Linked DNA regions of Mytilus edulis. The protein of the gene in region 2 purifies or fractionates together with the protein of the main gene of each other region. This does not show direct contact. Links are inferred from orthologs where the notes say so. Each region holds a gene or a part of one and is shown on either strand. Other genes may lie near its edges.

Region 1 (7,092 bases), on a different chromosome or scaffold from region 2:
TTTAATTTTGTGGATATATTCTTTCCACGAAAATTTCTGCTTTTACAGTATAACATATTTAAAATGTTTGCAAGGTTAGTGGCTGGTTCATTAATCGTTATTCCATATTCTATATCTAACCGCCTGCAATATAGACTTTTGCAATTTATATTTTAAGTACAGATATCAAATTGGCACTTTGCGTCCTCCGTACATATTAAAGTGACAAAGACAAAAATTAACTGGAACACATGTTTTGAATTTCTGCAAAAAAAAAATATACCTTGCATCAACCTCTGTTGAAACTCTGCCGGGTACAATTTTCAGGATCTCTAAACCAAACAATACATATACCTTATCCATAGCAGCTTCTATTTGTTGTTCCATTGTCCTATTGAAATAAAATTTAAAAAGATATTTTATGTTTGTTAAAAGAGAAAAACATACCTTGTCTTCTTTCTGTTTTTACTCTTATAATAAAGACATGTTTAAAGTACAGTTACACAGCATGATGATTTTTTTTTTATATTTCTTTTTCAGTTTATTTTCTTTTTTGTCATGATTTCAAAATTCACTATTCATACTATTCATAAGGACTTTTATATGACTGTCATAAAGTGAGAGGTTAGGCTATAAATGTAGCTATAAACCTGGTTCAATCCACTATTTTCTACATAAAAAAAGTGCCTGTACCAAGTCAGAAATATGACAGTTGTTATCCATTCGTGTGATGTGTTTGAGCTTTTGTCTTTGACATTTGATTAGGGGCTTTGTTTTGAATTTTCCTCAGAATTCAGTATTTTTGTGATATTACTTTTTATAATTTAATGTAATGTAAAAAAAGAACAATAATCGATAATTGGATACACCAAATTGTGCATTTCATCAACATATAAATATATAAGACATTTATTATTGTACATATTTTTTCTTTTGAAATGAGTCTTCATCACATATTCATCAATTACATTCTAGCTTTACATTGATTAAAAGACTCACTTTACATTGCTGTATTTTAACAAAGTATTAATTTTAATTTTACCCTCCACTTTTTTTTGCAAAAGTAACAGCCTCTTCAATAAGATGTTGGTATGCTGGCATATTTGCTGCTGCTGATATCAGAGAAGGGTTGGTTGTAGCATCAGTAGGCTTATACTCCTTCATAGCTATGAAAGTAATTAAATAACTTCTGATAAATAATTAAAACATGACATATAACTTCTGTCTCTGTATACATTTTTAAACATGAACTTTGAAGTGTTTTCAGATACACAATTTCACAAAGCTTTTTAAAGTACATGTAATACATAACAGCAGTTTGCCAAAGGTAAACATTGTTGATTAGCGGTTTGTTTGACACTCAAGTGAAGCCATATAAAATTGATATAATTATAGAAGTTCTTTACCTTTACCTTCATCAGCATGATCAGTGACAAAAAAAACGCTATTAATGTTGACATTGCTGATATTAAATAAATAAACAGCTGTGCCATGAGCTCATGATGCGGCCATAGCTTTTTCAAAGAATAAAGTACAAAAAATTATCACTGTCATACAGTGTATCAGATATTCAGGAAAACTAAAGGAATGCTATCTAAATAGATATAAACCAGTAACCAAAGTTTCATGATAACTGCTCAACACATTGTATGAACACTCCCCCCCCCCTTTTTTATGAATAAAATCGCTGAAACGTAAATAATAAAATTGATAAAAAAATTGAAAGGGAGCTTATGTCAATAGATATAAACAATACACCAAAGTTTCCTGCATATTGCTGAACCATTTTGAGTTACATGTCATGTATTGTTCAAAAACTAGAAAATCCTCCTATTCTTAACGAACAAACCCTCCAAAACTTAAAAACTTACAATGTCAAATGTAAAAGTTATGAAAATTAAATGGGATCACACGTTAATAGATATATAATTCACCAAACATGCCAAAGTTTCATGACAATTCGTTAAACCGTTTTTGAGTTATTTTCCGACATGTTGATGCTGGACAGACATACCATAATACGTCCTGTAAACAGACGTATAAAAGAGGGTTGTAATGGGGGTACCTTCATGACGAATAACAGTAAAAATTCCTGCCAAACGACATTAACGGTAATTTTTGGAGCATAACGATAAAATATGCATAAAAAAAGGTGCCTAAAAAAAATCAAATGATTTTGACAAATATGTTAATTTATCACATTAATTTTTTTCCAAAAAAAAACGGTAATGATAATTAGAACTAAGACCTTTGACAAATCATGATAAGGATATTTTGACGAATCACGAAAATTTTTAAATCAATTTGAAAAAAAATTCCAATAGTTGTAAATTACTTAATATTTTACAGAATTTGCTTTTTTTCCATATGTAACTGGGACACCTGTGTCATATTAACTTGATCATATTGTGTATACTGTACATGTTTATAAATGACATGCGACAACAACATGGACAAGATCTCATAATTTTTGTCATGTAAAAAAAATATTTACCTTCAAAATCACCAGTGTCTGCAACTATGACAGTTAATTCCTTTAGCTGGTCCAGTGTTGTCATGGCGGATTTTTTAGTTTGTGGCTCAGACATCTCAGGATATTACTGTGAATAATATTTCCGCTAAATCAGGATGCAAAATTTGGGACAAACGTTTACCTGTTAGGCTATTGATGTTGGATGAGCTAGGCATGCAACACTGACAAGGAACCAGACATAATGACGGAAGCGCTTTCCTGAATATAAATACTAGGACAAACTCGGAGACGACATGTTTAACAGCGTCGAGTGTTAGCTTTCTAAAAAGCTTCTCCAACTTCAGCAATATGACGGAGGAAAATAAGATATTTAAACAAAAGCGTTGCTCTTTAAGTAGCATGTCAGCTGCAGAATACAATATTTTAAAAATCACTAAATAAAACTCATCATAGATACCAGGATTAGATTTTGTATTTACGCCAGACTCGTTACCCTAGCTTGTGACGACGTATGCACATTTTATAAAAAAAAAAAAATATACCTGCAGCCTTTCTCCGTGTACTCCTATAGTTAGAGTGACATATTTTGTGCTTAATAGATAAACGAAAGATTTTTTTTTTTTTTTTTTTTATATATATATATATATAGATAATGATTAGACCGTTGGTTTTCCCGTTTGAATGGTTTTACACTAGTAATTTTGGAGCCCTTCATAGCTTGTTGTTCGGTGTGAGCCAAGGCTCCGTGTTGGGGGCCGTACAATCGCCTATAATGGTTTACTATTATAAATTGTTATTTGGATGGAGAGTTGTCTCATTGGCACTCACACCACTGCTATATCTATAAAGCTAGTAAAAAGAATGGACTTATTCAAGTACACCTTCTAGATTAGTGATTTAAGCACGAGTTTTTTTTTTTTATTGTTTTAGGTTGTTTATGAATTTTGTAGACAATAAACCATAGCACCTCATGGTCAAATAGATGAATAGTAATGAAGTTCGTGTTTTGTTCGCAGATATATAAAAAAAATGTCTTTATTTGCCACAAAACTCCCATTTTCTATAACATGCAATGTACACAGCTACTTTTGCATAGGTACTATTTCTGTACTTAAAAATGCAGTACTGGAAATTTACTTTTAATATCTAGTACTATTTCTTTACTTTAAAACTGTTGTAATATTTAGGTACTTGTATTTTACAGTACTTGATTTGTACCAAATATTTTGGTACAGAAATAACACAATATTTCATGTTTGAAAATCATAACTTTAAGAGATTTGAAATAGAAAAACTTTCAAAATGCTGAAAATGTAACGGTAGTAACCAAAAATCTGTAGTACCTTAATTTCAAGTACAAATAAAGTACTGTAAAATACATGTACCTAAATATTACAATAATTTTAGAGTAACAAAATAGTACTGAATATTAAAAGTAGATTTCCAGTACTACATATTTTTAGTACAGAAATAGTCTATGCAAAAGTAGCGGAGTGTGTAATATTTAACCGTAGTGCTCTGAACAAAGTTTACACAGGGTTGCATGCCTTTTTAGCAATTATTATTTGGTCGGTCTTCTAAATTTGAAAACAATCACTGAAGCCTACCGGTATATTATAAATTATAAAGCTTTTCACATGTACATATGTTATACCTTTAACATGTTTAATAACATACTAGATTTTGCAAAAATACTATTTTTTTAACATCCATGTACTTCAACGTTTTAATCCTTCGAACCTTCCCCAATTGATTCGTTGCACTTTATCGTTATATAACATCGTACTTTAGCATGAACACACGTACTTTAGCAACAAACAACTATTGCACTTTAGCATGAGACACCATCGCACTTTAGCGTAGACCATCGCACTTTAGAGTCCTACATATATACAGAATGAAGTCCTCAAATGCTCATTATTAAGACTTATTACGAATCTATAACGTATTTTAGACACCCATATTATATTCAGTGATTGAATTTGTTGACGGTAAACTGATTATAACTTTCGAGTTTGCATCCCATTTGTTAATTATATACACCTTTTCATCACAGTTGTTAAATGATTTGGAGTATTTAATTTTTTTATTTAAGAATCATTTACTATTAACCTCCCTATTGCACCATGTGCACGTTTGTTTACTTTCTTTCCCACTCATATGTACACTTGCGCTTTGCAAATGGCGAGCTTTTAACGAGAGATATTGTTGTTAGGGTCACTGCATACGTAAAAAAGATCGGCGGAATTCGAGTACGGAAAGACAATAATTCTATATCAGTACATAATTGAAAATTTTGATTTAAACTAGGATTTTCTTTAAAAGAAGTCCAAGTTCACTTGTTTTATAGTATAAAAACTAAGTTATCAATGTATATAAAACATATTCAACTTTGTTTTAATTCAGTGAAGTATCATGTGACTTTAAACATTTTTCCGGCACACACAGTTTTTGATACGTCAGTAGGAAGTGAATCATCATGACTTGCACTTGTGTGATTTTCAGCTTATTAATTGTGTATTACTAATTGATATACGATATTTGAACATTGATAAATTACTGTCGCCTTTATAACTACTGTCAAGACACAAGACTAGTATGCTGTTAAAGATAACTTTGCCATTCGTATACAGATGGATCAACTCAGGCAAACATCTTACAACTACATGTATACCAAGAGGAACAACTTTTGTCATGGATCTAATCGTTTTTCTCTTTAAAAGAAAGATAAACTCAGGTTGTCTACATGTTTCATCCGCTTTAAATTGCTATCTCATTTGAACTGAATGCTTCATTATCTCTCACTTGACTGATTTTACAAACAGATTGAAGCGAGCAAATGTCACATTTTCATTTGAATAATATATTGAACACACATTTGACAATAATTATAATCCTGGACTTATACTGATATAGATGTATCAAATTTAAGCATTATGGTAAAAAAAAAGATAAAGAATAACCAAAACCCAAATGGTTCAAGAATAACTATATAATCATTATGGATAATTTTGAATAAAGGCAACAGTAATGGACGACATCAAAAGTTCAATGAAGGATAAAAAACTTAATTCAAATAGTTTTTTTCACTGACCCCCCTACCCCCCTATTGACTTAATTTGGGAAAATTTGATTGACCCATATGGATATATGTAAAAATCAATGTCGGATAACCAAAGCTTGCAGCAGTTCAACCCCCACCCCCAAACTATTTGAATTAAGTTTTTTTTTTTTTTTTTATCTTACATTGATCTTTTGATGTCGTCCCTAATATACCGCTGTTCAAAAGTCATAAATGGATTGAGAGAAAAAAAATCCGGGTTACAAACTAAAACCGAGGGAATCACAGCAACTATAAGAGGATAACATATGAATATAAGATTGAGAAGATGGGTTTTGATTAAAAATTAGATTAAATGACATACTAGAAGTTTAAACAACCCAAGGTCATGGTTTGCTCGAATGTGGTATTGGTAGGCTACTCGCTATTTTTTTAATTTTAAGTGTGATCATTTTATTTAAACTTAATTTTTTTTTGCAACTCAGCTGACATTGATGGCGGCATGTCAGTTAACCAAAAGATTTGTGGTTGCTATATAGTTAAATCATGACTGAATGTACCCAACTTATGACGGTCATTATGTAATATAATTGCGCCTAAGTTAAGACTGATGAAATCTAAGAGGAAACTTTGACCTGTAATTATGTTAGCTTCAAAATTTTCTGTTTCCTTTTTCTGAATCACCAACGTTTCATATTATGGCTTTCAGATCTTTTGGAGTGGAGCGTATCTGTATGTGTTTCTTGTAGACACAATTTATTTTTGTGTGCATGGAGATGTTATCATACGTTTTCGCGCACATTGCCTCGAATCGTGTCTCGTTCCTTTTGGGGGTTCATTCGATTTACCTTGTATTGTATCGTCTTCATAGATAAACGAAATTTAAAAATTTATTGGAAATACACGTCAAAGGCGCTTGGGTATAGAATAGAATAGAATAATTTTATTTACCAATTAGGACCCCAGGAGGGCGTATAGCATACAAACTTATTGGAAATACACCATGTACACGTCAAAGGCGCTTGGGTATAGAATAGAATAGAATAATTTTATTTACCAATTAGGACCCCAGGAGGGCGTATAGAATACAAACATTATTACATGTATTATAAACAATAACATATACAAAAACATCGGTAAACTTCTCCTGCCTTTAAACTAATGCCAGCATCACTAAATTCTATTTTGCGTAAAAATATCATCATAATGATATATACTGCAGTACCTTACTGCAATTGCGCAAAATAAGATATTGTACAGATAGTAATATTTCATAATGTTTGTATTGAGATATATTCAATAAGCGCATCATAGATAATTCATCATGATGCTATTAATTTCGGAAACGATTTTTTTTCTCAACAAAAAAATTTAATTCAAACTTTTCTTGTTCTATGAGAAATTTACAGAAACGGTAAGAATGGATATTTTTTTTTTAATCATGACACAAAATCTCTGATTTTCATAGGTGATATGCATGTTATAAGTTTAAAAACATACATACTTATAAAAAAAAAAGACAATTGAAAGTGGTACACCTAAGTAATACGAGAAATTGTCTAAATGAGTTACGTCATAA
Region 2 (7,342 bases):
AATGTCTATGCATATGTTACTTTATGTATGCCTAGTACTGATATTATTAGGATTTCCATGCTGTTTCTTTTCAACTTTTATGTCTATGTACATTTACATGTTGATTACTTATAAGGTGTTACATTGCATGTTGTTACATTTGTGAAGCCATTTTTAGGTGTGGAAATTTGTTAACAAAAAGTTGATAATTTTCACAAATTAACCTGTAAAACATGCAGTAATTTCAGCAAAAATCAGCTATGCGGAATCAAACTTAAACTTGATCTGTAACCCATTAGTGTAAACTAACATAATAAAAAATCATCTCAAAAATGTGAAGGAATGTAGAATAAAAGCTTGAAAAGTCTGTATAACGACAATCACTTTTCCATTGTGGCATCAGATATAATCTGATACATGTATTGTGATGTCAAAATATTATGGTATTATTTTAGATGTCCATGGCCAGTAATGGTGGTAAAAAAGACAATACACCTTATTGCTATTTGTCTGCCCATAGGCATTATTGGCCATGGACATCACAAAAAATGCTGATTTTTTTTTAAGTCATAATCATAATAGAAAATATTTGACGCCCCAAAAGAAAAGTTATTGTTGTATGACGTCAAAAATTCAAGCGAACAGATTTTTGAGTAAAGCGGGACAGATTTTCAAATAGCAATAAGATGGATTCCTTTTTCTTTGGTATTAGGTCTGTTCGTGCCCAATACACTTTCGCACCCAAGGTTCATTTATTCGTTCGCTCCCAATCTTAAAGCAAATTCTTGTTGAATAATTAGAAAATCATAATTGTTGTTTTAAATTACTTTCATGTAAAATACTGCATAAAGCTTGGTCTGAGTAAATTTTTTTTAATTTTAAATGAAAAACACAAAAGATAATTGTTTTTAACAGTTTGGCTCCTTTGATCTGAAACAATGAAACAAAAAAATTATAGCAATACACAAATCAAAACATGATTAAAATGTATTCAACAAACATAAAAAAAAACGCAGAATCTCACTTTATTTTGAAATAATTAAAAAATGTTATACATGTAGCAATACACTTACCAAAACATGATTAAGATTTATTCAACACAACAACAAAAAATTGTTGACAGAATCTCACTTTATTTAGAAACTGATTAATTTTTTTTTACAATACACTATCCAAAACTTGATTAAGATTTATTCAACACAAAAAAAACGTTGGTTTACTTTACTTTGAGACAATGACAACAAATTAACTAATAGGAATACACTTGCCAAAACTTGATAACAAAGTCACTAAACACAAAACCAATAAAAAATTTGGGCAGGAATGTGTAGGGTGCGAAAGTGAATGGGCCCAAACAGACCCAGATTCTTTGGCTTTTCTCTTAAGCCTCAGTCACACCTTAACAGATAACTTTTTTTCAAATCGTTCATGTCTGTTCTTATTCGTTAGACGTCCGTCCATATCAGTTGCATTTCCGTTTAGCGTACGTTTTATCCGTCAACTCCGTTCTGTCTGGTGGAAAATTTTGAGTATGTTCACAACTTTGAATGGACGTACAACGGATACTGAACGGATCCGAAACGGATAAATGCCAATTGAAAATGCTGCGTCAGAAATGCCAAATAGATTTCTTAAGGTTCATGAATTCTTATTATTCATAATAGATCTTAGAGGGCAATAAGAGTAAAAGCACGTCTTCACATTCAAGCAGCTCTTATTCAGGCCAAACACTTTTTTGAAGAAAAAACCAAAACCAGTTACACAGTTGTTGAAGGCCATACGGTGACCTATAGTTGTTAAAGTCTGTGTCATTTTGGTCTCTTGTGGATAGTTGTCTCATTGGCAATCATACCACATCTTCTTTTTTATATACACAGATCAATTTTGAATATTTATATGGGGACGAAGTCCCCAATAACAGTAGAAAATTCAATAAAAAAAAAATCGGGAAAATTTCCCGAATTTTTCATTGTACTAATGAACTCAAAATCGTTCAATTTTTTTTATGTCATGTTTTGAAATCCCGGACCTGCGCAGAAATGTACAATGTACTTCCTTTTTCCGGTCTCGTTTGTATGAAACTTTGAGTAAAATATATATTTATCAGTCTAGTATAAAATAGGAAGGAATGCGCAATACCAATTTCATTTTTAATAATTCCTTGATATGAAAAAACGTTACCTGATGATAGCGTTTCTTTGTTTACATTGCATATGACGTCATAACTTAAATAACGTCACAACTAAAATCCCTAACAAAAGAACCAAAATCGGAAACGTTACGGTATTTCCGTTTCTTTTTCTTAACAAATATATAAATGTAAGTTACAAAAAAATAATTCATACAGACTTCGTCCCCATTTACAGGTAATGCCTGCCTCATATTATGATTTACATGTTTTATTATTGTCGCTTTTAATTTTTCTGTATATCTTGTTCATCCGTTTTATCCGGTACGCTTCCCTAAGGTGTCATTTTTATGTGGTACTCGTCCGTTGGATGTACATTTGACATCCGTTCTGTCCGGTACATTTCCGTTTCTCGTACATTGAATATCTGTGTGTGTCCATAATGCATTCGATACGTCCGTTTTATTTTGTCAGTACATCAACAGACTCCCAACGGATAATAATTTTTTCAACTGAAAACTTTCATTTTCATCTGTTTGGTTCCGTTCCTGCTATCCCATAAGGTGTGACCGAGGCTTAACAGAAGCTGATCAATGTATATATGATCTGATCATCAACACAGATTTTGATTCAATAATCTGAAATAATTGAAATTCTTTGGAAAATAGTGCAACCGTTTGGGGAATAGTTATAAAACCAAAGTTTATTGTATCAATAAATCCACTCATGAATCAACAAGAGCATTATTGCCTGTAAATTGGTATATTCAGAAGACAGAACGCTTGTTTCATATAAGAATACCTAAAACAAATTTCAAACTTAGCAGAATTATCTTTACTTTATGCCTTTACGTTACGTCTATCACATTTTCTTTTCCCATAAAGATGAAACTTTCAAAAAACCATACCTATCTTCTAATCTGTTCTCCAAAATAAATTTCTCTATGGAATTTACCACAACTTCCGGTTACCTTTTTAATAATCTCTAACTATTTTTTATAAATTACATATTACTTTGTCTCCAAATATTCTTAGTTAATTAACATGAGAGTCTAATTATTATTATAAATATGACCACCAAAATAGAGTTGATAGTATATTATTTAATATTAAGTATACACTATTTGGTTTTCGATTAGTCTCCTTCTATACGTGTACTTCCTGTTTCATTTTTGAGATGGCTTCAAAAAAGACCGGCTTGATGGACAAAGTAATTTTTCTTTAGCAATGATGAGAAATTTTGTAATTTAAACAACACACAAAACATTTTCAAAATCTGTTTTTCAAGTTGCATGCCTGTTTGAACAATGGTATTGCGTTGAAATTCGGGAAATCACTTTCCATATGCGGAAAATATTGCCTTTATAGCAAAATACCACAGGCACTTGTTTCTATCCATACGAAGGTCGACTATACATATACATCTATTTATATGGATAGTCGACCTTCGTATGGATAGAAACAAGTGCCTGTGCAAAATACACCTTATCGCTATTTGTCCGCCATTGCTAGAAATCACACAGGTTCCCGTAAAATTTTGACGTCATAAAACAAAATATCTGACGCCACAATGGAAAAGTGATTGTTGTTGACGTCAAAGGTTCAAGCGGCCTGGTCAGCCGGGATTAGCGATAAGGTGTATTAAAGCTAAATATATATAAATGATGTGGTGGTATCAGTGTTCTCCCCAGGCCGATATGACGGTGCGGTGCCGCAGCGCCTTCATAATATTTTTGTTAATCCAGCAGCGTCTTAATTGGCCGCTTTTACTACTTGATCCCGCAGCGTGTTAATTTTCACATTTTCATTATAAATGTTGGTTAAAATTGTCAAGTTGCTGATCACCGCTGGAAGAAGAAGAGAGGTCGGTCAGTGTTACGCAATATCTGATAATATAGTTTTACCTGAGCCACACTTATCTCAGCCGTATTGGACTATGTTAACTTATCATGTAATAGCGTAAATGATCATCAAGAAGATAGATATTTTCAGAAGAAAATTAAAAAAATTAAAATCTTCAGTGCAGAAATTGAAGAAATAGATCGCAAATACATTGTATTTAAGCATCGTGTGTGTGTTTACTTGACCATTTATATAACGAATTTTTTGCATTGGTCGAGAAGAAGAATCTATTGAAACACGACCAATGAACGTGTTCAATACACGTTATAGATTTGAATACACATTGCTAAAGATATTTACGATGAAAATTATGAACGAGAGTATTTGTTGTTGAAAAAATTAAAATAAACTTTAATTAAAGATAACGAGAAGTAATTTATTTTAATTGAAAGTGAAAAATGTTGCTTGCAAGGTAAATTCGTTTCAAACTGTCATATTTTTAGAAATAAAATGATCATTGAACATCGATCGTGAGTCCGTGCGTCTGGAACATATTATGTGACAATCAACAAATAAACAAAATAACACTATCTTGAAACAATATCCCTAGAAGTAGCAGAGAGTACAGAGATGAATATTTATATTTTGACTTCTTTAATTGACTGAATATAAATAACTTTTGTGTTTAAAATCAATTTATTTCATAAATATAGTATATTATTCATTTCTTGTATAAATTCATTTATTCTCTGCATTATTAAACACACAACACAAAGCAATATTGCATGTTATGATTTATGACTGATTGATTCAGATCACAAAAGTTCACTACAAAAAAGGAGTTACGCGCCCTTGAATTTTGCGCCTTAAAAAAATCCTGGGGAGAACACTGGTATGATTGCTGTCTATGATCAAGTTGTTCAACAGCCAATAGAGCTAGTCTACTGTAGTGATGAGAATCTTTCAAATCTCATTTAAAACTGATCAGATAAACAAATAACAATTTCCAGTCAGGGCTGATCTAGGGATCGATGAAAGGTTGTTTTTTTTGTCCTTTTGACAATATTAAACGATGAAAAAAATGGTGTTATTGGAACATGTAGCTGTGGAACTGGAATTCTGGTAAAATCATCACATTGTTTCATCATCATCTACATGTAGTCAAATCGGTCTGCAAATTATCCAAAAAATGTAACAAAAAGTTGAGATACAGTTTCACAGCCCTTCCAAGGGTACAGTTCAATTCAATTTTCATAAGTTTCTTATTATAAAGTGGGATGAACATTTCTGTCCCCACTGAATCAGCCCAAATAAGGTTCTAGCTGATCAGTTCCTGAGGGTAATTTTAACAGGTGGAGTTTGCATGATTGATTTTACTTTTCAGCTTACAATGTATGTTACATGAATCAGGAGGTTGCACTTCTGTTAAAAGTTACACCGTTCTGTTTTTGATGCATTAACTATGTGCTGTAACCTTTTTTCCTATATATAATGAATGATTTTTTGCCATTGCGAAGAATACATCATGCTCCTTATAATTTGAGTCTTCTTCTTCTTCTGGTATACATGTACAGCTGTTATAGCTTTATTTTATAATATGAGGCAGGCATAACCTGTGAATGGGGACGAAGTCTGTATTTTTATTTTTATTTAAATTCAAACATGTTAATAAAAGAAACGGAAACACCGTACGTTCCGAGTTTGGTTCTGTTGTAAGGGATTTAGCTGTAACATTCTTTAAGTTATGACATCATATTAAATGTAAACAAAAGAAACGCTTTCAACAGGTAACATTTTTTTCATATCAAACAATTATTAATAATGAATTTGTATTGAGTTCCAATCTTATGTTTTACTAGACTGATAAATATATATTTTATTCCAAGTCTTATTCAAACAAGACCGGAAAGGAAAGTAGATTTTTTTGCGCAAATGCAGGGAAAACCGGAACAGGAAGTAGATCTGAAAAAGAAAGTTAACGATTTGAGTTCATAAGTAGAATGAAAAATTCTGGAAATTTTCCCCGATTTTTTTAAATTTTTTTTTTATTGACTTTTCTACCATAATTGTGGACTTCGTCCCCATATAATTAACGGTTGGACCTTAAGGCCACATCAAAAAAATATGTGGTTCAGTATTTTTTAATTGAAAATACAGGGATTACAGGTGAACAAATTTTGTTTAAATTTTATTTCAATGAATCTTGAGTGATAGAAAATATATTTTAGTATATGACTGTGCTGACATTTAATAGTTACTACATTTTTAGACCTGGAACAAATTAAGTGCTTACCATATTTGTATGGATATGTGCAACTGCTGTATGTTGAAACAGTATATTAACCAAGAGTATATTAGCATTTTATGATAGGGTTCAATGCTGTCTCAGCCAGTGTAAACCCCTCATCTCATTTTATACCAAGAAAAAAAACTCCATCCTAATAAAGATATATATATGGTTTGATAATATGGCTTTTAAGGAATGTTATTTATTCATTTGAACTTTTGTAATTGTAGAACGAATCAGAACAGGTTAGTTTTTAGTTTCAGAGATCAATCTGTAGAGCACCATATACATGTACATTTGTAGATGAAAATGCAAATGAATTTTGTTAAAGAAAGTGGACTGTACTATCATTACTATTTGATACTTAGAAATTAGTTAACTATTTGAAATTTGTATTCTCCATTAGTTCTTTTCCAATATAGGAAATTTACACAAAATTCTATCAAATCTCAAAGGTTTTCATGCATGCTGGATTATCTCATAATAAATATTGTTTATGTCTTGAAAAATTAAGTTTTTAATACACAAGTGTCAACACTTTACTTTGGACAAAGGATTGATCTCTCATTTTTTTTTGCATGATGGTTTAGTGGACAGTTCTTAATAGTCTACCATTGTTTATCATGTGCATGGACCATGTTAAGCTCAATTCAGATTTGACTATAGGTTATTATGTACAGGGTAATAAATATTTTGATAGATTTAAAAGCCTTTCACTATACTTCATAGAATTATATAAAAAAAACTATGTAAGGTTAAATCATAAATGTTAATTCATGAATTGAAAATAATGACATACTATTATTGTACATTGTATCAAGGATTTGTATACTGAGCACTATACAAATCCTTGATTGTATGTACATGTAGATGTGCATATCAACATGAAATTGTGGATCAATTTGTGTTCTATGCCTTATGCCCATTTGAACTTAGAATTTTGGCCTGACTTATTATACTCAGTCTACTTAGACAATTTGTCATTTCTCTGAACAAATATTCTTATTTTACTGCATTAATTAGAGTTTTAAAACAATCCAATTTAAATTCTTTTTTCTAAACTTTACAGAAGCTCTTGCTGCATTAATGTCATTTTAAAACATGATG
Region 3 (7,990 bases), on a different chromosome or scaffold from region 2:
TTTACAAAAAAATTTAACCCCTGATGCCTCTGCTGCCATATTTTCCATCCAAACAGAACCAAACAAGTGAAATGCTAGCACTGCCAACTGATAGTGTGATGCTAACCAAAATCACATTCATTGAGACAAAACATTTTTATTTAAAGATTTGAAACAGTATGCTAGGAGGGACACATGTACTATGATTGCCAATGTTTTACATGTTTGTAATTGGGATACATGTTTTGCCAATATATGACTTAAGGGGGTTCGCGGGTCTAAATCATTTATATAGGATTTCTCTATATTTTTCTATAAATGAACTTTATCTTATAGTTAATAGAAAATTAAAATAAAAAAGTGGGGTCACCGTTCATTTGCGCTCACAATCTGCCTTCGAAAGAAGCATACATTTTTGTAAAGGTGGTTGAAGTAATAGGAGAAATATAGGTAATATCGAAATAAAAAAAGAAATTTATTACAGAAATCGCTCAAATTTTACAATAATTTAGTTTAAGTACAGCTTATATGGAAATTATATTAAAAAATATATGTCACCGATGAGTTAAAAAAGATATTTCAATTTTAAAGCCAAAAAAGGGCATTTTTCCACCAAAGGGAGATAATTTGGAACTATTTCAATGATGTACACATTTTAAATGTCATCTGGGGCCAACACGAATTGATTGTTTTGAATGATTTTTGTACCATATGATAAAGTAACAACTACAAAAGGTAATAAATAAAATTTGTAGTGAAAAACAAATGTTTAATTTTTTCTAAAATTTTTATACCCTCGAGCCTCCTTAAGCAAGGACTGTACCAAATGTATATGCTTCATAAAATGTTGATTATTGAGAAACCAAAATTGTATCCTAGACTTTCTCAAAGAGCCCCAATCATTTGCCAATACTGTAAATCAACTTATTTTCATGGATACTTTATTTCATATTTAACCTCTCTAGTCCACTTTGTGGTTATCTATAAATTTGGCAATTTTCTAATTTTTTTGGTGTAGTTTAATAAGGAAATATCCAAGTTTTACATATTTACAATGATTTTTATTCGCTCTATTTTTGTATTCGCCTCATTTTTTCACTTGCCAAAGTCATGAAAATAAATTGTTCTCGAAAATAAGTTGGTTTCTTACAGTACATATTGCCACCGAAAAAAAGTAGTTAGAATCATTGTAGAGCATGTCAACCTATTCAGTGGAGATCATATTAAAACAGGTGGTCTTGTTGTTCCAGAGATGATTTCAAATACTGGCTAAATATCAGCATAGAAGCATACACGTTATTGCTATTTGTCCGCCATTACTGGATATCAAATAGGTTCCCGATAAATTTTGACGTCATAAAACAAAATATCTAATACCACAATGGAAAAGTGATTGTTGTATGCATCAAAAGACAAAACAGTGACAATAAGAATAGACGACGTAGATGTGAAGTTGGAACCTGATAGTGGAGCTGATGTAAATGTAATGGATGAAAATCAATTTGTAAAATTTCAGAGCAAAACATACGGCAATCCAGTATTAGAAAAGAGTAAAATCAAGTTGAGCACACTGCAAAATTCATTACCAATCAAGGGAGAATTTAAAACTATCATAAGAAACAAAACATGTGGCACAGAGACAAAATTTATTGTTGTAAAAGGAAAAAATCAATTCTCCACCCTTGCTAAGCAAATCCACTCTGATTGAGCTAGGGATGATACAGATTAGAACTGATGGTTCTTTTGTAAAGACAAACCAGTTAAGAATACCAGACAGTGGACCGCCTTTCAACTCTGAGAAACTTGCTATTGATAAGGGATTTAAACACCACCAAGTCACACCAGGACGCCAAATAGCAAATAAAGAAGTTAACTTATTTAGGAAACCCATCAACAAAACAGAGCAAATAAGTTAAAAAAGAAAAACACTAAAACAGCTAAACAGGAGATCCATAGAAGATATATCACTCAAACTTATATGAAAGAGACAGACAATGCAAGGAGAAAATCAAAGGGTATGCTGAAAACAGAAACAAGAAGATGAAGAAAATGGGCCCCCGCAAGACATGCGCGGGAGGGGGCAGTGGACATTCAAAATTATGGCCCCTCCCCCCCCCCAAGACAGGCGCGGGAGGGGGCGGACAAAGAGAACTTTGGAAAACAGAGACAACAGTCAGGAAACCAGGACTGAAACATAAAGCGGAAGAACCAGGAGACCGATACAATTTAGTGAACATTTAAGAGACTATTATAATTTATACAAATTGAGAAAGTGAACATCTATTTTTTAGTTATTACAAAAACATTAGTGAACAATACAGAGACTGTGATAATTAAATCAATGTAAACAAACTTTATTTTACACATTTTAATTTACATTTATAAAGTCATTTTCTAATTCAAAGTTAAGGAGGAATGTAATATCTGTGATTATTCCGGGAACGTCACGCACAAACCTTCGGGACATTTACTTGTTACGTAACGTCGCTACCAATTGTATATTTTGTAGCCATTATTAAATTACTATTTGAACAATCAAGTCTTACTCCGATCTTTCACCGACAAGATGATTCTGAAGAAGCGGATTATAGTGACGGGGAAATTATATTTTTACCTGTAATATGTGGCGAAAAGTCCATTATGATGGCAGACATGGATATAACTTATAAATTCTACTCTATTGTGCTAATAGGTATGTTTTAACGATTGACTGTTAAATTAAAAGTAGTTAGTGTGATTTTTAACTACATTAGATCCACAACATAACAATAATGATAATACATGTACGAAAACCTTCATACCATCCCCCCATTTTTGAAAGAGTAAAGATCCCGAAATAAAAGAAATTGTTGAGTGAGAAAAAGAAGCATGGTTGTCGCATGTGTTTGGTTGGTTATTTAAGCACCTGTTCTAGGTCTACTGCCACCGGCACTGGGTAATCTTCCAGCCATTTCTCTTTAATAATAAACTTTATGGTTATAGTTTACTGTTGACAGGAAGCAGGTTGTAGGAATGTTGTCACTTGATTTGGACTTTCAGCATATCCGGCAAAGTGGAGGACCTAAAATGAGGAAGTCGAAAAATAAAAGCGAAACTTTACAATGTTCAAGTTATTTCTCTTAAACAGATCAACATGACTTGATAATGGAAACTGATTTTGATAGCTCATTAAATAAACTATAACTTCAATTAAAATTGATATTGATTATGAAATGCAATTTACTAAACAGAAGTTCGGAATAAATAAATAAATAAATAAATAATAAATAAATAAGTTTTATTTAGAGTCGGCAAGGTATACAAACAGAGACAAATTAAGCTCTAATAAGCATTAACCGACATACAAAGACATTTATAACAATACAACACATCATACACATGCAATAAATTACACAGCACAAAATGAAGCACTAAAAAGCATGATGATAAAAAGCAGAATATAAGTATAAGCTAGATATTAAAGCTAAAAGCATATATAAGTGTAAACTAGGCATAAAAGCTGGTATAATGCATGATAGCTTAAAATATTATAAAAAAAGGGGTATGATCTAAATGGTAAATAACTTTTTAGCATAATATATTAACTAAAATCTGCAAAAACAGTGCACTTACAGTCATTTCCATTCCATGACTTTAAAATATTTTTGACTGACTGACTAAAATTAGCATTTTTTTTACTATCATCAGGTAGATCATTCCATAAAACAGTAGCTGTGTATTTAAAAGAGTTCTTGATGTTCGGACCCTAGGTATATCTACAATATCAAAATATCTAAAATAATATTTACAATCTTTCAATACAACTAAATCATGTAAATATGGTGGTGACAATGAATCTATATAAAAGTTTGATACATTCAATAATCATGTTACACATACGTCTTATTTTCAGTGATGAAACCTTTGCTCGTAAAAGTAGCTCATCATATGAACTAGTATAGTCTTCATATATAAATCGTAAAGCCCTTTCCTGATTTTTTTTTCTAATTTAGTGTTGTTATTTTTGTTGCAAAAATGCCATGGCAAAGGACAAAAATTAAAATTAGATAAAATAAATATGTGGAAAATGGTTAATTTATTTAATTTAGTAAGGTATCAGCGGCCTGGGCTAGACTGTTTTAGTGTGCTTGGTCACCGATGTAAGGGACGACATCAAAAGTTCAATGTAGGATAAAAAAAAACCTTAATTCACATAGTTTTTTCGCTGACCCCCCCCCCCCCCCTTCCCCCCATTTTTTTAACTTAATTTGGGAAAAATCGATTTCCCTATATGGATATATGTAAAATCGATTTTGGATTAACAAAACTTGCAGAAATGTTGGCCCCCCACCCCCAAAATATTTGATTTAAGTTTTAGTTTTTTTATCCTATATCGATCTTTTGATGTCGTCCCTAATAGACTGTGTGAAAAAAAGGTCGACCATCCTGAACGCATTGAAATTTCTGAATTCGACTCCAAGGATTTGTCGACTCAAACTAGTCTTTGTTTTCATGAATTTTGACATCTTGGTTTGATGTGACTGGGGATTAAATAAATTGTATATATAATATTATATCTTCAAATCAACTGATCTCCATAAATTCTTTTTAAAAACAGAAACAGTAGCTTAAAAAGTAAAATCACAAAAATACTGAACTCCGAGGAAAATTCAAAACAGAAAGTCCCTTATCAAATAGCCGCAAAAGCTCAAACAAATCAAAACGAATGTATAAGAACTGTCATATTCCTGACTTGGTACAGCCATTTCCTTAAGTAGAAAATTGTGGATTAAACCAGGTTTTATAGATAGCTAAAACTATCTTAAAGTAAGCGGCGTTCTGAACATTAGTACCGACGCCATGTAAAGACTTCAAGTACAACACAGGGCTCAAATCTGAGACCCTAATTACTCAGTATCTACATTGCATTTATGTTCTATAAAAATCTGTAATCTTAATTGAGGAGACTTTCTTATATTAATATTTAATCAAGTTCCATATAAAATGGAGTTTATTTCCTGATATCACTCATTGGTTAAATTACACGAACTTAGAAAAAAATCTTCCAAGTAGATGAAACTGTATGTAGCAATTCACATAATTGCGTATGATGTTACATTTATTCAAATATCAATAAAATATTTTCAATATATTCAACATTACAGCAACAGCAACGGCTAGAAACAAAGCTTTATTTTGTATAACAAATTTGGTATTTCCTGAAGAACGTATCGTAATTTTGCATTAAAATTCACTGCTAGACCATAACAAATTGTAAATGTGAGAATTTATAGTAGCAAATTACTCATAGAGAGTTGGCAGATATAGAAGAACACCTTTTCAACAGATAATTATCTACTTTACAGTTAAATGGAACTGACGACGAATCAAATTTGCTCAGTGAGGATTTGGGAATCTATAAGAAATATCTTCTATTGCAATTCAAGTGATATCGTTAGATTTTTTATCAATTTGCCTAAATACGTTTTTTTTTTGCTTCATTTTAAAAGTATTGATATTGATACCGGAAATAATTGCCCCGGGAATTCGAATGAAACAAACATTAAGTAAAGGTAAAGCATATGTTATCAATTAGAATTGTCAGGTGTTATGGTATCTGATTGTAGATGTCTTGTCTAGTAGTTTTTTTTTATAACAAGACATTCCAGCAACAGATAGCTTATCTGTGTGTATCTTATCATCTAGAACAATGTTTCTATGTATGTCTTTTTTTATTGTTCTGTTTTGTTTCGTATAATATATATATATATATGTTCCTGTCCCATATAAAATTAATCAAAAAGTCCACAAAACTCATGACCATTACGAGTCAAACGTTATAAAAAAAACCAGAACGAGTAAAAAATAACAATAATAGTCCTGGTTTGGTACAGACATGTTCTGAAGAAAATAATGCTTTACATTTTTTTTTCTGTAAAGGAAGTTAAACCTCCCACTTCTATGACAGTTTAATCTTGTTTTATAGGTCGCTAAACCTCACACTTGTAATGTACGTATGACAGTTGTTCCGTGTCTCAAAATCTGTTATGATTGGGTGAGCAATCAAACAAAGTCGGATTTATTTTTGCCTTAGTCTCTTAAGATTCGTATATGCTTCAAAATAAAATTAAATATACAGTTTTACTTAAAGTCAATACCACAGGTGCTTGAGGCAGGGACCTCTTTTCCTGTTTTTGTTTTTCGTATTTAATATTTTCATAAAAAAAATAATGCAGTACAATGCTGTATGATATTTTACCATACATGTTGTTTATTTGGTCATCTTTACTTTGAATAAGACTGTAATGAAAGATCATAGAACAAAAAGCTACTTTTTTTATGATTGACGCCGGCTCTTTAGCGAATTTCATATACATGCACAATCAAGTTGTCCCTTTATTTATGTGGGGTTACTCAGCAACGCATATCAATACGCGTTCTCAAAATATTAAATGGTTTTCTTGCGCGCAAAAACAAACAAACTATGTTCAGAAAATTATAAAGTTATGAAAGCGTTTGAGTTTCATAAATTGCCCGTCATTTCCCAAACTTTGGTCTATGAAATGGTTATAAAAAAATAGTGCGGAAGAAGAAAATTTTAAAGTGAGTGATTTACCTCCACCATTTTTAAACAACATGGAGGATAGTGTTTTGGAAATCACGTAAAGTTATGTGTTTTTATCTACCTCCAGGTAACCACCATTCACATTGCATTTTAAATGAAAGCCAGTGTTGCCCTTGTCTCAGATTTAACCCGGCAAGTCTTCACTCATATAAGTAGAGTATGCTTTTGCAAACGTAACGTTTATGAAAGAGGTGATTGTTTTGACACCTCCACTCTATATATGTCATATATAGTTCAATATTCAATTACAGATAACTGCAGTTTATGTCACATTCTTTGAGGTCGGAAACAGACCGCGATAATTTGTTTCTTTTTACTAATGAGAGTCCTCTTGGTGTGTCAATGATAATTCAGCAGATCGACGTTAGTGCAAAAAGGTTGACCAAATGGCAATCATTCATTGACATTGAATCAGTTGGGCAGAATTTTTAAGTTACAAGTGAGTTGTTTACCAGAGTGAAAATTGTACATACAAGACTTGAATATTTACAAGAGAGACAATCCAGTGTGACTGTCAACAGCAACACACATAGAATGTAGAATTTTTATTAAAATCACTGACACTGTACATTAATGTCAATACACCTTATCGCTATTTGTCCACCATTGCTGCACATCACACAGGTCCCTGTAAAATTTTGACGTCATAATACAAAATATTTGACGCCACAATGGAAAAGCAATTGTTGTATGACGTCAATAGTTCAAGCGATACATATTCTCTGGTCAGCCACGAATAGCAATAAGCGAATAGCCTTTTAGCTACATTTGTATATGTCCACCATTACTGGACATCACACAAGTTCCCGTAAAATTTTGACATCATAATACAAAATATCTGACGCCACAATCGTAAAGTGATTGGTCCTCCTATAAAGCTTCATGTAGCTACTTGTATTTTATTTTACATCAACACATAACAATAATACCAAATTACTTTGTAATTTATACCGATTAATGATTATCTTAAATTAAATGGATTATTCTAATCATTGCTAATGCAACAACGTTTGTAACTTTCATTTTGATTGGATAACGTCACTTTCTTACATGGCATCAACGTTGTTTTCTGTCAGTTTCATTAGAATGGAGATAACAATATTGTATTTTAAGGTCCAACGACATCAATTTGGGATTTGATGGTCGCAAATACCCATTTACTGTCTCCGCTTACGCGTCGCCAGTAAACTTAATTTGCGACCATCAAATCCCCAATTGATGCCGTCGGAGCTTAAAATACAATACAGTTATCTCCTAAATGATAAATCATCTATTAAAAAAAAATTCTTTAAAAAAATTCTAGATTTTTAAGCTACCCTGCTAATTAAGTCACAGTATGCGAGACTTACATGTACATGAGTACAGGTACAACTATCTGGCAGAGGTGTCGTAAACTATTTGTATAAA

The links.
Region 1: the proteins of intraflagellar transport protein 81 homolog (region 2) and intraflagellar transport protein 88 homolog fractionate together in Homo sapiens (co-fractionation; 3 studies listed by BioGRID and IntAct, with this or other methods). This does not show direct contact. The link is inferred for Mytilus edulis from reciprocal best matches to the Homo sapiens genes IFT81 and IFT88.
Region 3: the proteins of intraflagellar transport protein 81 homolog (region 2) and intraflagellar transport protein 74 homolog purify together in Homo sapiens (affinity purification with mass spectrometry; 3 studies listed by BioGRID and IntAct, counting the BioPlex papers as one, with this or other methods). This does not show direct contact. The link is inferred for Mytilus edulis from reciprocal best matches to the Homo sapiens genes IFT81 and IFT74.

What each region holds. Positions count from the first base shown.
Region 1 is NC_092353.1:50,393,829-50,400,920, forward strand, and holds the start of intraflagellar transport protein 88 homolog, read right to left. Parts: upstream 3,005-7,092; 5' UTR 2,970-3,004; intron 2,719-2,969; exon of another isoform or gene 2,568-2,718; coding exon of another isoform or gene 2,474-2,567; intron 1,146-2,473; coding exon of another isoform or gene 1,022-1,145; intron 371-1,021; coding exon of another isoform or gene 263-370; intron 1-262. Other genes in the region: transaldolase-like, read right to left, coding at 263-370, 1,022-1,145, 2,474-2,567. UniProt on the Homo sapiens protein: Positively regulates primary cilium biogenesis. Also involved in autophagy since it is required for trafficking of ATG16L and the expansion of the autophagic compartment.
Region 2 is NC_092346.1:86,979,788-86,987,129, forward strand, and holds the start of intraflagellar transport protein 81 homolog, read right to left. Parts: upstream 3,085-7,342; 5' UTR 3,015-3,084; exon of another isoform or gene 2,946-3,014; intron 1-2,945. Other genes in the region: signal peptidase complex subunit 2-like, read left to right, coding at 3,284-3,316. UniProt on the Homo sapiens protein: Component of the intraflagellar transport (IFT) complex B: together with IFT74, forms a tubulin-binding module that specifically mediates transport of tubulin within the cilium. Binds tubulin via its CH (calponin-homology)-like region.
Region 3 is NC_092347.1:2,125,775-2,133,764, forward strand, and holds the start of intraflagellar transport protein 74 homolog, read right to left. Parts: upstream 3,037-7,990; 5' UTR 2,931-3,036; coding exon 2,885-2,930; intron 1-2,884. UniProt on the Homo sapiens protein: Component of the intraflagellar transport (IFT) complex B: together with IFT81, forms a tubulin-binding module that specifically mediates transport of tubulin within the cilium. Binds beta-tubulin via its basic region. Required for ciliogenesis.